Linked DNA regions of Rhinolophus ferrumequinum. The protein of the gene in region 1 interacts with the protein of each later gene in a pairwise test. Links are inferred from orthologs where the notes say so. Each region holds a gene or a part of one and is shown in the gene's direction. Other genes may lie near its edges.

Region 1 (7,453 bases):
AACTCCCCACTTCTTAAGTGAAGACTGTACATAATATCTCCATCTAAAGAGTGCAGCATAGAAAGGGAAAGGTGAGAAACTTTACAGTGGAGAGACCTGACAAACACTATCTCGACCAGGTGACTAAGATCAACATCAACAGTCATAAATCATGTTGATATTATGTACATTTAATACAATGTGATAAAAACGGCACTTTATTTCTGTGATCTCTCCCCTCAAACCCATATTCACAATCTAATCATGAGAAAAACACCAGACAAATTCCAATTGAGGGGCATTCTACAAAATACCAGACCAGCACCTCTCAGAAGTATCAAGACCATCAAAAACAAGAAAATACTTAGAAAGGTCATAGCCAAGACATGGTTAAGAAGACATAACTAAATGCAATGTGGTATACTGTACGGGATCTTGCAACAGGAAAAAGTAAGAAAATCTGAATAAAGAATGGACTTTGATTACTAATAATATATCAGCATTGGTTTATTAATTTTGGCAAATGGATTGTACAAATGTAAGATGTTAGTAATAAACACTACTAGATGTGGGAACTCTCTGTGTTATCTTCACATTTTCTCTATAACTCTAAAAACAATTTTAAAATAAAAAGCTTATTTAAGAAAAAGTCACAAAAATAGAACAGCAAAAAACATGCCCATCTTGACTTTGGCACTGGATAAAGGAAAGTTCTTTGTCTGGAACTGTGCATCATAAACCGAACCTAACAGTTATTATCTCGTTCATTCATATTACCTATGCTGTCTGAAAAAAATATCCTGCGAAGAATTTAATGTAAAGTGTTTTGGGATTTGTTATGTCCTGAAGCAACTCTCAAAAGCAAAGGTAAATCTTCTCTGGAAGATTCCAAACCTCGATCTTAGCCTCAAACATGTCAGAAATAAAGTTACACCAAAAATTTATCTCCTAGCCAAAAAAATCATAACACACACAAGACAACACGATATGAGTAAAAACTAATGGCAATAAATCGCAAACATTTCAGAACCTGGAATTATAAGACGCAAAATAGAAAATGACTATGATTAATATGTTTAAAAAAATAAAAGAGAAGCTTGGACATTTTGACAGAGAAATGGAAATTATAAAAAGTGACAAAGATGATTTGCAAAATGGCCACATTAATTTTTTTAATTTCAAATTTGATAAATACTTCTTGAGTACCCACTATTTGCCAGGCATGTACTAGATATTTTCACATATATCATCTATTTTTTATTTTCATAACAACAAATAACTCCATTAATAAGTACTAAAGTTGTAAAACCTTCATGTTAAAATATTTGCATTATTTTATCTTTCCCTACACTCTGGAAACTGTCTTTTGATCTGTTTTCCAGTTCACAAATTCTTTCTGCATCTGTATCAAGTCTACACTTACACATATGTTGTGTTCTTAATTTGGGTTATTAGCAATTTTTTTAGCTTTAGAATTTCTATTTAGTTCCTTTTCAAATATAGTGGGTCATTTTTTTATATTAGTGCTCCCTGCAGACTTTTTAAATCTTGTCCTTTACTTCTTTAAGCATACGAGTTCAGACAATTAAGTTTGTGAACTCATCCTAGAAAAAGTGCTACATACCTCATTGCTGAATATCACTATGGTCACCTTCCAAGTACTGCCCTTGGGAAGCTATGTACCTACACCAGCGCCTAGTCTACCCTTCAAAGCAATTTTGGGACTGTTTTTCTGGAATGGCCATCAGAGCTGTCATACCATTACCCTTGATGTCCTGAATGCCATCAAAATGTCTTGCTTTCAATATTTCCTTTATCTTTGGGTAAAGAAAGAAGTCACTGGGGGCCAGATCAGGTGAGTAGGGAGAGTGTTCCAATACAGTTATTTGCTTACTGGCTAAAAACTCCCTCACAGACAGTGCTGTGTGAGTTGGTGCATTGTCGTGTTGCAAGAGCCATGAATTATTGGCAAAAAGTTCAGATCATCTAACTTTCATGCAGCCTTTTCAGCACTTCCAAATGGTAAATTTGGTTAACTGTTTGTCCAGTTGGTACAAATTCATAATGAATAATCCCTCTAATATCAAAAAAGGTTAGCAACATTGTTGCAACAAGTTCAGAAACTTAATTGTCAGACCTTTACTATCCATACTTTTCATCATTTCTGTCTGATTCCAAAATCTGAAGCTTCTGTGGTTCTGTTTTTGGTGATCTGATGTTTCTACTGGTTTTCCTCATTCCTCGGCCATATGTGCCTTATATACTTTCTTTTGACCGTTTCTTATTATATCTTATTCTGACTGCTGTGACCTCCAATTCTCTTTAAGGACTGTGCTCTCGCCAATACCCTGGTCACATTCTTCCCCTCCTTTAAACTCAGGGATTTTTTTTGCTCTCTCCATTAATTTCACATGAAAAGATCTAATAACAGGTACGTTTCAGAGTAAATTTTTCTTTGCAGTTACTTCTTACTGGGGGTTGGAGTGGGGGTTGGGGTGGATATAGGCAGGCCTTTGCATTTTAAGCCTTAAGTCACATCCTGAAATGAAAGCCTTCATTCCTATTAAATTAAACGGGGGCGGGGTTCTATTCTATACTTAAATTTTCTTAAAATACATCACAGTTTGTGTTCTTTCACATGCTTATGTTTTGCAAGTCCTGCCCACACCCATTCTTTCTTTTGAAAATGTGGCTTTAAATACATCTGCAGTTACCTATGCAACATTCTGACTGCTCAAGAAATCTACTCAACCTTAAATTGGAGATAGTTTGAAGAGCACTGGACTTTGAGTAGGATGGTCTAGGTTCTTAGCTACTCTTAGTCTAGATGTATCATCTAGGACAAATTCTTTATTCTCCCTAAAGCTTAGGTTCCTAATTTGCTGAAAGGAGCTATAATAACACCTGTTATACTTGTGTCACATGGTACTTCTGAGCAACTAAGGAAATAATGAACGTGAATGAACCAATGGTAAAGAGCTACGCAGTGTGAGTGATATTGGGCATCCTGAAACTTCAGGAAATTTTCATTCCTAGTTCCATTTTCTCTTCCTCATGTCAGAATAAATACATTGACCCATTCAGTTTAGACAAGAATAAAGAATAAGACTAAGGTTTTCAGAATAATGAAAAGTTTCAAGTTACGATAAAATTATTACTCTCTTCATTCAATCATGATATGAGAGCTATGAAACACTTATTAGAACTAATAACCTGAGTTGCTGTTACACAATTCATCTATGAAACTCAATTTGTCACAAAACAGCAAATGGTTTTTTTGAACCTGAATGGAAGGATTGGAGTCAGTTTTAAATTGATAGCCATATTAAAGTAGCAAATTAATCTTAATGTTATGAAAGTAGAAAGCAAATAAAAGATTTTAAGAATTAGAAATCAATCGACTGTATGTATTGGGAAGGAATTCTGTTACCAAAATAGGTGCAAGAATATTTTCCAAGCACAAAATTCAAGTACTTAAATATATCACTCAAGGTATCAGTAGAAAAAAATGTATACGCACAAATACATGTATATATCCTTTCCTATCATTGCTTTCAAATGAGGACTGTGTGACAGAACTTTTGTCATCAATTATTCTTGGAATTTGGTGAAAAAAGAAAAGAATTTGGAATCAGTCACTCTGTGTTCTGTCCCACTTAGGAACTATTTCCTTCTCCCTAAAAGGGAGGCAAGTCTGCCCCGCCTAACTCACGGAGCTTTTCTAAGGCTCCAATCAATGCACTGTAGGGAAAAGACAGGTACAGCTCTGCTGTTATCGTGACCAGACTAGCTGTCCACTGAGCGATGCTGTTAAAAGAAATCCAGCTACTCCCGACTGGAAGACATCTCGGTGAATTGAAAAGGGAGCTCTCTCTTTACCCCAAGTCTATTTCTTTTTCATATCATTTCAAATGTGGGTGAGAGGGCGAAGGGCCAAGGGGATTGATTTAAAGAACTTGGATGTAGATTCCACCCCCACTCCCCGCTTCTTACACTTTGTTCCTTCATTATTTCCTTCCTTCATTCATTCAACAAATATTTCTTGGACCCCCGTTGGATGCTGGACACCGGGCTAGGTAGGGAGAGCCACAGAAAGGAAAGGACCCGGAATGTGGTCTCAGGGTACCCTTCGTCTAGGGAACAACCAGGCGTAAAACTGAGGGACCGAGAGGTCGCGCTCGAGTGGGTGGTTTCCGTGGCCGTGGAGCCCCCGCAAGGCCTCGCCTGCCGACGCCTCCCGCGGGTTAGCCTATCCCCCACCGCCAGGCCCCCGGGCTGCGAGTTTGGACCGCGTCCCCATGGCAACCAGTGGCAAAGCGGCGGCCTGGCTGCTGGCCCGGAAAGTGAAGCCCTAACGGCTTCGGTGGCCACGCGGCGAGCGGGCCCGGACGGCGGGAACGTGGCGGGGACGGCGGGGCCCCTCGGGGCGGGCGGGGAGGGCGGTGACCCGGGAGTTTCTGCTCCTGGGACCTCAGACCTCTCGGGAGAGCGCGGCGCAGTGTGATGCAGGTAACCCATCCGGGCGTCCCCGGCTTCACCCCCAGATCTTCGTCCTGGCCCCCGGGCGGGGCTCGCTCGGGAGGAGCTGGGGACCACAGCAGGTCGGCCGCTCCACGGAGGCTGGCCTTGAACCCTGCGTGGGTCTGGACAAGGAGGTCGGGGTCGGGGTCGCGGTCGGGCGACAGGTGGGGAGAGCCTGGGATACCAGGATGGTCCTTGCAGAATTCAGAGCAGAGATTCTACCTAAATTACAAGGTCTAGGTTCTAGTTGTGTGGCCTTGGGCAAGTCACCTAGCTAGTCCGTGCCTCAGTTTCTCTGACGTTAAAGTGAGGGAATTCAGAACCTGCAAAACGAATGTATGCTTCTGTCCGTCGTTCCCCATCCCTGCTCCGCGCCCATCGTCTACATACACAATTCCAGGGTCTCTCTGAAATCCTTTGATTTGAGAGTGATGTGAACCTCTCCTTTTTACCATTTTGAATGCTATTTCATTGACTTTTATTCAGTAAATCAGAGGAATTGAAGTCCTATTCAATTCTTTGTCCGTTTATCCTCATAGATGATTTTTCAGTTAAAATTTTGTTATTGGGAAAAGCTTTTTCTTTTTCTTTTCTTTTTTTTTTTTTTTAATTTAGGCAAGCACTAACACCCCTATTTTGTCAAACAGGTAAACAGGTGCCCACAGAACCATTGAGGAATTGTGAATTTTCTATTTTTAGAGAATTCTTAGGGGTTTTTTTGTCTTAAATATTCATGATATTCATTCTAACAAAACCCAGAAAGGGCCAAAGAAAGAATTTACTCAAAGGCAAACTTTTAGAGGATCCACAAGAAAGGAAAGTTTGCAAGCGTTTCGATGGAACAACTCTTGAATAGAAATTCTGTTTTACTCACCTCATGTACTGAGCACTTTTGCAAAGTACCTGGCACCAAGCCATTGCTCAATATACAGTGAATGAATGCTCATTTGAGTCAGTGCCACATATTTCAACTCATCATTAAGCCAATTCATAGCATGGGGACACGGACACACACACATACACATACACACACAGACATGTGCAAGTTTCTACATTTTATAGAACCAAGAGTTACTCCATTCAGAAAAACATAGAAAATGGTTTGCCAGTAGCAAAATTTTCTTTTTTTATAGGTTAATAAATGTAAGCATTTTAGGAATCTAGACCATTTTTCTCCCTAACAGATTAAAAATCAAGAAATTTAAACCAGATGCAGCAGTTTCTTGACATGGAGAACCAAGCCCATAATACAGTGGGGTAAGTGCTGAGAAATTTCTATTTAATAAGTTGTAACTTAACTATGCCAGAAATTCCCTGACGGTACAGGAATTTTGAAATTCAGTATTAATAGAAGAATATGCCAGTTATTTTTGGTGAGGAGGGTGGGGTAAATTCAAGAGACTTTAATTAAGAATCTATAGTTTGGGTCTTTCAAATTTTGACTATGGAGCTGCACACAAAAATCACCATTTTCCAACTCTTAGTGAGTTTTTTAAAATGTTTTTAGGGTGATGGGTGCCCACACTGGCCCCATGTGCCCTTAGGTTTCCACAGTGAAGCAGCTACTGGCCTGCTTGCTCCTATCTTGTTGCACCAGGTGTCTGAGCATCCGCCCACATTTGCCCTGAAAACTGAACTCAATGCTTAAACATAGCCTCAAAACAGATCTAGCTCCTCAAAACAGCAACAAGAACTGGATATTTTACCAAAACTTTCATGAAGACATAAGGAATAGAATTTGTATAGCATTTGCCATTGTTCAGAATTAAATTCCTTCTCACAAATAATCTGTCCCCACCCCTTCCCTGCCAGCAACACCACAAAGGTTTCTGTTCCTATTGTTTTATTAGCCAACTGGCCCCTGGTTGACGCCAGAGCTGGGCAGGGGAGGTGGGGCAGTGGGTAGGCATGGCACTATAGTGCCTAATCCTGACCGACTGACTTTGCACTAGTCAAACCACTGCAGATGTCTCACTTTCAGTTTTTCTGCTCAGATCATGACTTTAACATCAGGCTAAAAGAAAGCTGCCCAAGTCTCAATAATAATAGCTCTCACTGTTTTAAGTCCTCCTGCACACTCCTCCTGCCCTGTTAGGTATTGTTATTTCACAACTAAGAAAATTGAGCACATTAGTTATAGTCTAAGTTCTTGTAACAAAGAGACCCCAAAATACAGTGGTTTAAATAAGACTGAAGTTCATTTCTGTTTCCTGTACAAGCCCAGAGAGAAGCAGACCAGGACTTGTAGGGTAGCTCTGCCATCCTCACTGCATGATTTCCACCTCTGGGCCCGAAGTGATTGCTTCAGCTCCCACCATCATGACTGTGCTCCTGCCAGAGGGAAAGGGGAAGGGCAAGCGGAGAGCTTAAGACCATTCCTTTTAGGAGTAGGACTTTGAAGTCATACTCCTAAATGAGGCAGGCCTCATTTCTGTTCACTCCCTATTGGCCAGAACTTAGTCCCAGAGCTACAGCTAGTTGCATGGAAGGTGGGGAAATGTGGTTTCTAACTGGACAGCCACATGGCCAACTAAAGCTTAGCAGTTGTATAATAAAAGGAAGAATAACGGATATTGGTGGACAGCTAGCAGCCTCTGCCACATTGAGCTCAGAAATGTAGAAAAAAGAGAAATAAAGCAGGATCTTGCCCCAGCGTATACAATTGGTTAGTGGAGGAGGTAAGATTTGAATTCAGATATGTGTGGTGCCAATCCCTGCATTCTTTGCTACATTGGAAATGGATGACAGTGCGATTCAGGGAGCAGTGTACCTAGTATCCACAGGAGAGCCAGGGTAGGATTCTGGATTGAGCAGGTGTGAGGTCCGTGGTGTGACAATAGCACAGAGGGCTAAGATGCAGATTGAAGGTCTCCAACCTAAGGATGGGTAGCAGATATCACTTCACTCCTGCAAATCTGAGGCCTTGGAGACTGATATTTCTCTTCATTCATTC
Region 2 (7,582 bases), on another chromosome or scaffold:
TTGACAAAATGAAAGTGAAATAATCCTGAATTAATTAAACAGAAACTGGGTTGCCTCTATTAGATTCTCTGTCTTCCTTTGATTGTTCCACCCCCCCACCCCCCTCCATCCCCACTCTTTCACAAACACACTGGGAAAAAGTGTTTGGTGTGTTACTGAGGTGATGTAATTGCCCCCCAGAGAATGGGCCTTTTTTTTTTTTTTTTTTTTTTTAACATGGACTCAGTAATTTGGATATGGGATGGATTTACAGGACAAGTGGTTTGTCAAAAGGAGAGGATTTTATTAGTGCTTCTGTGGAAGTGATCATTTTCAGTAGACATGATTGCTTCTTGCCAATCGAGACAATAATTTAAATATCAAAGCCTGTGCCCTAGAAATGAAAAGCAACAGAAAATGAGGTATGATGAATTGATAGAGGTTTGGTGGAAATATAGAGTAAAGTAGGCATACGGACGTCGCAAGACGGCTTCGTGATCTCAGTGGGAAAAGTATGTTAAGCAGGTTTCCAGCATAAAAGAAATCCCAAGGCCCAGAGGAGGAAACTAGAGACAGATCAGTGAGGTGACCTGCTCAAGGCCACACAACTCATGACGGGGCAGAAGGGAGTTTGGGCTTCAGGCTTCCTGCTTGTCCTCTAAGCATTTTTTTCCAGGGATCCTCATTGTGTGTTTTCTTTTGGTGTTAAAGTTAGGAGTTTATAAGAGTCTTGGTTTGCTTTCTGTAGCATTGGTATGTTACATAACGTGCGCTATATGAAAGACAGCAGGAAAGAGCGTTCAAAAAGCCAAACAGCTTTTCAAAGGTTTTATGATCTGGGGGAAAGATCTGCAGAGGTAGATTACGAGGCAATTCGAAAAAAATCTATAAATTTGCGATGCCTCGTTGGGTTTTAAATATTTAACAAATGGCACCTGTGCAATACAAAAATCAAAATTTGCTTCCAACATTAGGGCAGTGACTATATGCATGTTAATTCAGGTTAGTCCTGTTAATTTTCAGAAAAGGAAAGTGGGACCTAGAAATAGCTGTTAATATGCAGTAATGATAGCAAGACTGAAGCGGTCTCATCACCTTTTAGCAACAGAAGTATGCATTAGTAGAATGTTTTAGGAAATGATGCTGATTAAAATACAGTAAAAATTCTGCTATAGACACCAGGGATCTATCTACCTTTTGTTTCCACTTCAGTTTTGTTTATTGCCATTCCTTGTTTCAAATGGAAACGAAATACATTTTCTGCCTGGTGTCCCTGTGTCACTTGGCGCCTAAGAATGCGGTTGTTTGGATTGTGGGACTATATTGTTTGAAGAACATGTTGACACTATGATTGGACACTGGGCATGATGCATAATAGACTGATATTAACTAATTTATTAATATTCTTTGTGAAACAATCCGAAGAGGTCCTTTTGTTTGGTCCCATGTATCCTGCTTTGGGTAGACTCCTTGTGGTAAGATTGTGAAGTGTTAGCAAAATGTGTTATTCTAGGCTGTTATCTATTTGTTTCATTTCCCGCCCCCAAATCCTTGAAGTTGTGACTCTTAACGGTTTATGCCCAGTATTGCTCGTGCTGTGTATATTTCCTGTGATTATCCGCTCTTTCCTCTTTCAAGATGAGAAAACTCTATCACTCGGGAAGATTCTTGAACTGACTAAGCTATGTGTTTAGAAAATATTCTGGAGGCTATCTCACAAGTTTAGGGCCATAGAGATCATTTTAAATTTTAAATTGGTTAAACTGGATTCAAGACAGTAGGTGTAATCTTAGGTCCTGGACTTGTAGAGGTGACATATTAATCCCAAGGGGAAAACAGAGAGCTCTGAAAACCTAGTGCACTTCTGGTCATTCGGAAAGCAGCTAGCTTAGTGGACACTGCACCTTGCATAGATGAAATATGGTTCCTGAGAGATCAATGGGGACTAAACTGGGGACGCTTGTACATGGATCTCTGTGAGCACAGAAAAAAGACGTACACATGAATATGAGTCTAACCATGTTAAAAATCTATATATACTAACAAAATCAAATGGTTCATAATGGGTCAAATAAGTACCTAAAGGGCATAAGAAAATTCTGGGAAATAAAAGATAACTCCTGTGAAATGTGGTGACTTAAGGTCCATCGGTAAATAATTGACGACAAATCTTGTCTTTAAAAAGCCATTTCGACGGAGGAATAAACAGGTTCTGTCACAGCATGATAATGCAAAGAAACTGACGGCAGTACAGGATTCTGCACAGGTGCAGAATCTGAATGCGTCGATCCATTAAATAATTTATTATTATTATTTTTAAGTAGGTCTCTGGATAAAGTAAGAAGAAAACTTTTTTTTTTGTAAATCTTTTAAAAATATGTAACAATTGGATCCATTCAGTACCCAGAAGATTTCAGTTTATTCAGAAGTCAAGATAGTAATCTGAATCAAAGATATTTTTTAAGCTGTCTTTATAATGCAGTATTAGCTTCCATATTTCTTTTATTGTATTTCAGAAAAATCATGTTTCTTTTTCAAATGCCTTTTCATTTATTTTTTAATTACAAAGTGATTCCATGTCTCATTTTAGATTGAATAGGCAAATCTTCCCCCACTCCTTGGTATCTGCAGAATGCTTGGATATTCTACATCTCAAAGCTCTTTTAATTCACTACTCACAACCAAATTTACATCTTAATTGCAGAGTTCACATTTAACAATATAGACAGCATAATGCTACTAGTAATTAAGCTTTTACTACCTGCTTTTATACAGTATTTTCAGGCACAGTTTTTGCTATGTGAGTTCCCCTCTAGAAACTTGTATGTATTTAAACCACAAATAAAAGGAATCAGGCCTGTATCTTAGCTCTGACTAAATACATGGTAGAAAAATTGCTTTTTTTCAGTGGGGGGACCAAATGATGCCTGTCGTTTTTATATTCTGCATTTTAATGTGGTTGTTCTATTTTTGTATTGTGTTTTGTTTTGTTTTTTGAAGACCTAGAAAATTTGAGAGCATTGAGAAAAAGAATCAAGTTCTGATTTAGTGAATTTAACACACGCTGACTATCTGAATTAATTTATTTTAATTTCAAAGATTATACTATTTATGTCATGTAAGACATTTGATACAAAAGGTTGGTAAGCAGTAGCACTGCATTATATCAAAATTGTGAGACTTCCACTCTCCATACGGTAGCAGTCATCTCTTTGCCATAAATAGGTGGTATTTATTCCAAGTACATTTGCTAGTCTAAAAAATCCTGTATTTTAAAATAGCACCTAACAAAACTCTTTGTCACGTGGAAACTGAAAACACGCTATATACTATTGGAGGAAAAAACACCCTCCTCTTCTTATATTCTCTGAAAAAGATACTTTTTATTGAGAATTCTTATTTTTGTAAATTATTATGTTTGAAGCTAGTCCTTATAATGATCAGACTGTGTGATGATTTCCAAAATATTTCTGAGCTGATTTTTTTTAAAGTATTCAGGGTGTATTATGTATAGGAACAAATATGTAAACAGCCTTTTATTAGAAAGCTGATCTTTTGGGTAAAATCATATATATTTGTATATGTCTCCTAGTTTGGAAGCTTGTATTGAAATAAGTATATGACTGAGAACACTTGGAGTGCACTATTTTGTGATGCTCTCCCTACCATAAAAAATAAAAAATAAAAAATGCAGCCTTTATTTTGTCAAAATGCTCTGAGATGGATTTTAGGTACCATTTACACTACAGTTCTCAGTCTCCCATCCCTGAAAGTGGAAAAGCCAATTTGTCCTGCAGTTTTGAAAAGCTATGCATCGTATATCTATAGGTAGGGAGACAGCAGCAGGTAAAGAAATGTTTACACAGATAATTTAAATAGGCATCCTCTCAAAATTGTCTCCAGGCACTATTTCCCCACTCTGTACTTGTGAAAAACTGAATTCCTCCTCAAAGATGAGATCTCCATTCACCTGCCCCAACAATTGAGAAGAATATCTTTGATTCTTTAAACTGCCCCGTCTACATCAGGAAAACAGGAAAAGACACGATGACGAATGCACGAGAAAGTACAGCGCTCAATAAGCCGCAGCCCCCAGTGGAGTAGGACACACACAACCGCAGGACAAACTTCATTCTCTACCTTCCCGCAGAATCCTTTCCCAAATTAACTGAGAGTCTGCGTGAGTTCTTCTTTGCAAGGCAAAACGGATCTTACGTAGGAGAGAAACCCAATGCCTCCAGTGCTTAGAGAGTTAAGTTAGTTATGTTTCTTTGGCAGCTTCCCAGGAAAAAAAAAAAAGAGAGAGAGAGAAAGAAAAAAAGAAGAAAGGAAAGGAAAGGAAAAAGAAAAGAGAGGAAAGCAGAAGCCCAGGATCCACAGACTGCGTTTCTATCCCTGGTCTTGGCTCTCTGTTTCTCTCCCACTCTGTTTTCACCCCTTGCTTGTCTGCACCCGTCCTACCTGCCTGGCTGCGTTGCTCGGTGCAGCCTCCCGTGGCCTCCCTCCTGATTGGGCAGACGCCCCCCAATCGGCTGCGCGGCTGGGCCAGTGGGACTGCATATGTAAAGCCCTACTTCATATTAATAAGCTCCAATCGGGGCTTTAAGTCCTTGATTAGGAGAGTGTGAGAGCTTTGGTCCCAACTGGCCGTGCCTATAGGCTTGTCACTAGGAGAACATTTGTGTTAATTGCACTGTGCTCTGTCAAGGAAACTTTGATTTATAGCTGGGGTGCACACATAATGGTTGCCGGTCGCACATGGATTCGGTAGAACTTTGCCTCCCTGAATCTTTTTCCCTGCACTACGAGGAAGAGTAGGTACCTTTTTCTTTCCTTTTTAAAACTCGGCGTGGGGGTGCGTGTGTCTCAGTGTGTGTGTGTGTGTGTGTGTGTGTGTGTGTGTGTGTGTGTGTGTGGAGGGGGGTGGACAGAATGTCTCTTTGCACACTGATTCAGGTAATGCCCTGGGTGTTTTGTGTGCACTGTGCTTGTTTGCGTCTGTCTGGTGCCTTTTGTGTGGAGCGTGATCTCCTAATTCAGTAAGTCGAGAATTGTTCTGACTACAATATTACCTTTGAGGCGAAGCTCAGTGACTGTCCGTAAAACAGCTGTGTGACAGTCACTTCTTATTCAGGTGCTAAGAATAGGCACTTGGCACAAATGCTTAGTGAACTGTTAAAATGCATCTTTTCCTAGGACCCATTTTCCCAAGGAAAGATGTTTTAAAATACAATATTCAAAATGATTTATACTATGGAGCGCTTCTTATGGATGTGCAGTTTGACAGATATTTTCAGCGCCCTGTCATTTCTTAACCCGGCAGAGTTAGAGGCAAAATTGCACATTTACTAATTCTCCTTCAGAAAACAATTTAAAAACTAGCCCTTTGCAGTTCAGGGCTAGAATAATGTTATTTGCATGGTTAGCGTTAAGTCAGCACTTAACTGACAAATCAGTCCATTAAGTAACATGAGATTTTCACACATTATTAATATTTAAGGGAGAAAAAAAGCCCTAAAGAAACAGTAGTGACTTTTAAAATTTCCCCTTGAAGAGACTCTGTTGAGATTGTGAATTTGTTTCGTGATTCATGTCCAGAAAATATAGAAAAGTAGTTTTGTTCTTACATGCAGTTTAATTTGTATTTATGAACATCTTTATGCCCATGGATCTATATATTTGGATTAGTAAAGGTGGGGTAGATAGGGGGTTAGGTGAAGTAAATTAGGCATTCCTGTATAAATGAGTAGGTCATAAACTTAATTTCAACCCACTGTTAAGATAAAATATTAGTATGTCACTGGAGCTGTCACTGGTCCATCTTTCTGTTGAGTCAGTTATATTGCTTTGCTTTCAGATTACATTAATATCAACTGTTATAATAATTCTGAAAAGAGTGCTCTTGGCAAACATTTCTCTCTATAGATTGTGGAGAAAATATAAAACTGTAGAAGATGAGGCAGTGCATTATAGGGAAATGTCCACTAGCTGTCCTTAGTGATTGCATATTGCACTGCTTTGTAATTAAGTAAGAGATGAAAGTGACTTGCAGCCTGAGTGGCTGTGTGTGTGTGTGTGTGTACACACACACAGACTCATATACACACTCATGCAGAGGATATTAGCCAAGAGGTAGACTTAGGAAGAGCTGAAAGGTTGGAAGGCTGTGCTTCCATCAGTTGGAAACACTCGAGAAACAAGCTTAAACTGTGTGAAAATAAAAATGAAAAATAAACAAAAGTAGGACTGCGCACTCCAATGTAGGGTGAAGGTTAGAGGACTGGGGACTGGAGAATTGGAGAGTTTAAAATGTCTTCATGTCAGGAAGAACACATTATCCGAACTCACCCAGGTTCTGAACTTTTCTCTCTTAAATAAAGAAATAAAAGAAACTTTAAAAATCCCCTAGAGGCGTCTTTTTAAAGTAGTTTCCTTGAATTTAACTTTTATAGCTAATTTGAATAATTGGTTTAGATAAGCCTCTTAAAGCAGATGCATTTAAATGAAATCAGGGCACATGTCCTTTTGGCTTTGGCGCAAGATTCAAACTAGCTTTCTTTTGGGCTCCATTAAAAGTCATCTTTAAAAAAAATACAGATTTATTGTCTGGATGCAGTTCTGATGGTTACGTGGTTCACTGGACAGACAGAAAGATCTAATGCTAAGCAACACATCTGCCTCTCTGTCTCAATTAATAAACCCTAGAATTTATACATGCTATTAATATTCATAGTAATTGTACTGGGTTAAACCCCATCACGTGTGTGTATACATAGAAATGAAACCAGTTATGCAGTTTCACAGGAAAATATTGGACAATTTCTGCTTCGGAGGCGATTAAAAAAAGGTTCGTACAATTTATTGACCACCGTTAGAAGAGCCTAAAATGTTAACCTATAACTATGTATTTTTTTTTTTTTAATTTAGGAAATGGGCCAGCACATTAAAGAACATAATACTTGAAAGCTTGTTTCACATTTAATAGCAGTAATAACTGATAGCATAAATAGATGAAAATAATATATCTGCTCATTTTGACATACGTGTCAGTCTAATCATGCTAAATGAGTGTGCTCATCACATGAATCCCTTTCAACCTCTGATTAAAATGTAACATTGACTACAGGATTATAGAGCGGACTTAATTTTACTGACTGTTTTAACAGTTGTCACAGCTGTTGGAAGAAGGAAAGGCAATTGAAACACTCCAAAACAGGCAAGACGAGGAGGGAATAGTTCAGTAAATTTCAGCTTGATCACTGAAATCCAGACACTGACAATTAAACAAATTTGGGTTTTCAGAATGCTGTTTGGAGCTATGTAAGTTTTATTTTGCATGGTCCACTCTTTCTGTTTCAGGGTTTTGGTTATTTTTTTTTTTCTCTGCCTCATCTCTCCTTATTAGAAGCTGAAGTAAATTGAAATATAACTGTCCAAAAGTAATACTGTAATGTCAAAATCTATGGGATAAAAATAGACAGGAAGGAAAAATGTATACAGTAACAACAACAGAAAGCTTAAATCAGAGTGGATGCAATTTTTTTTTTTAAAGATAAGAGCTTGCCTAAGCCACTATAGGTGTGATATTATTTGAGAACTACGA

What was found. The genes of interacting proteins can lie anywhere in the genome.
Region 2: the proteins of DEUP1 (region 1) and ESRRG interact in binary tests that used the Homo sapiens proteins (3 or more experiments, as listed by UniProt). The two-hybrid records come from large-scale screens. The link is inferred for Rhinolophus ferrumequinum from reciprocal best matches to the Homo sapiens genes DEUP1 and ESRRG.

Annotation. Positions count from the first base shown.
Region 1 is NC_046294.1:64,567,661-64,575,113, forward strand, and holds the start of DEUP1 (deuterosome assembly protein 1), read left to right. Parts: upstream 1-4,445; 5' UTR 4,446-4,488; intron 4,489-5,684; 5' UTR 5,685-5,710; coding exon 5,711-5,757; intron 5,758-7,453. UniProt on the Homo sapiens protein: Key structural component of the deuterosome, a structure that promotes de novo centriole amplification in multiciliated cells.
Region 2 is NC_046310.1:8,615,116-8,622,697, reverse strand, and holds the start of ESRRG (estrogen-related receptor gamma), read left to right. Parts: upstream 1-4,564; 5' UTR 4,565-4,737; coding exon 4,738-4,793; exon of another isoform or gene 4,794-4,797; intron 4,798-7,582. UniProt on the Homo sapiens protein: Orphan receptor that acts as a transcription activator in the absence of bound ligand. Binds specifically to an estrogen response element and activates reporter genes controlled by estrogen response elements.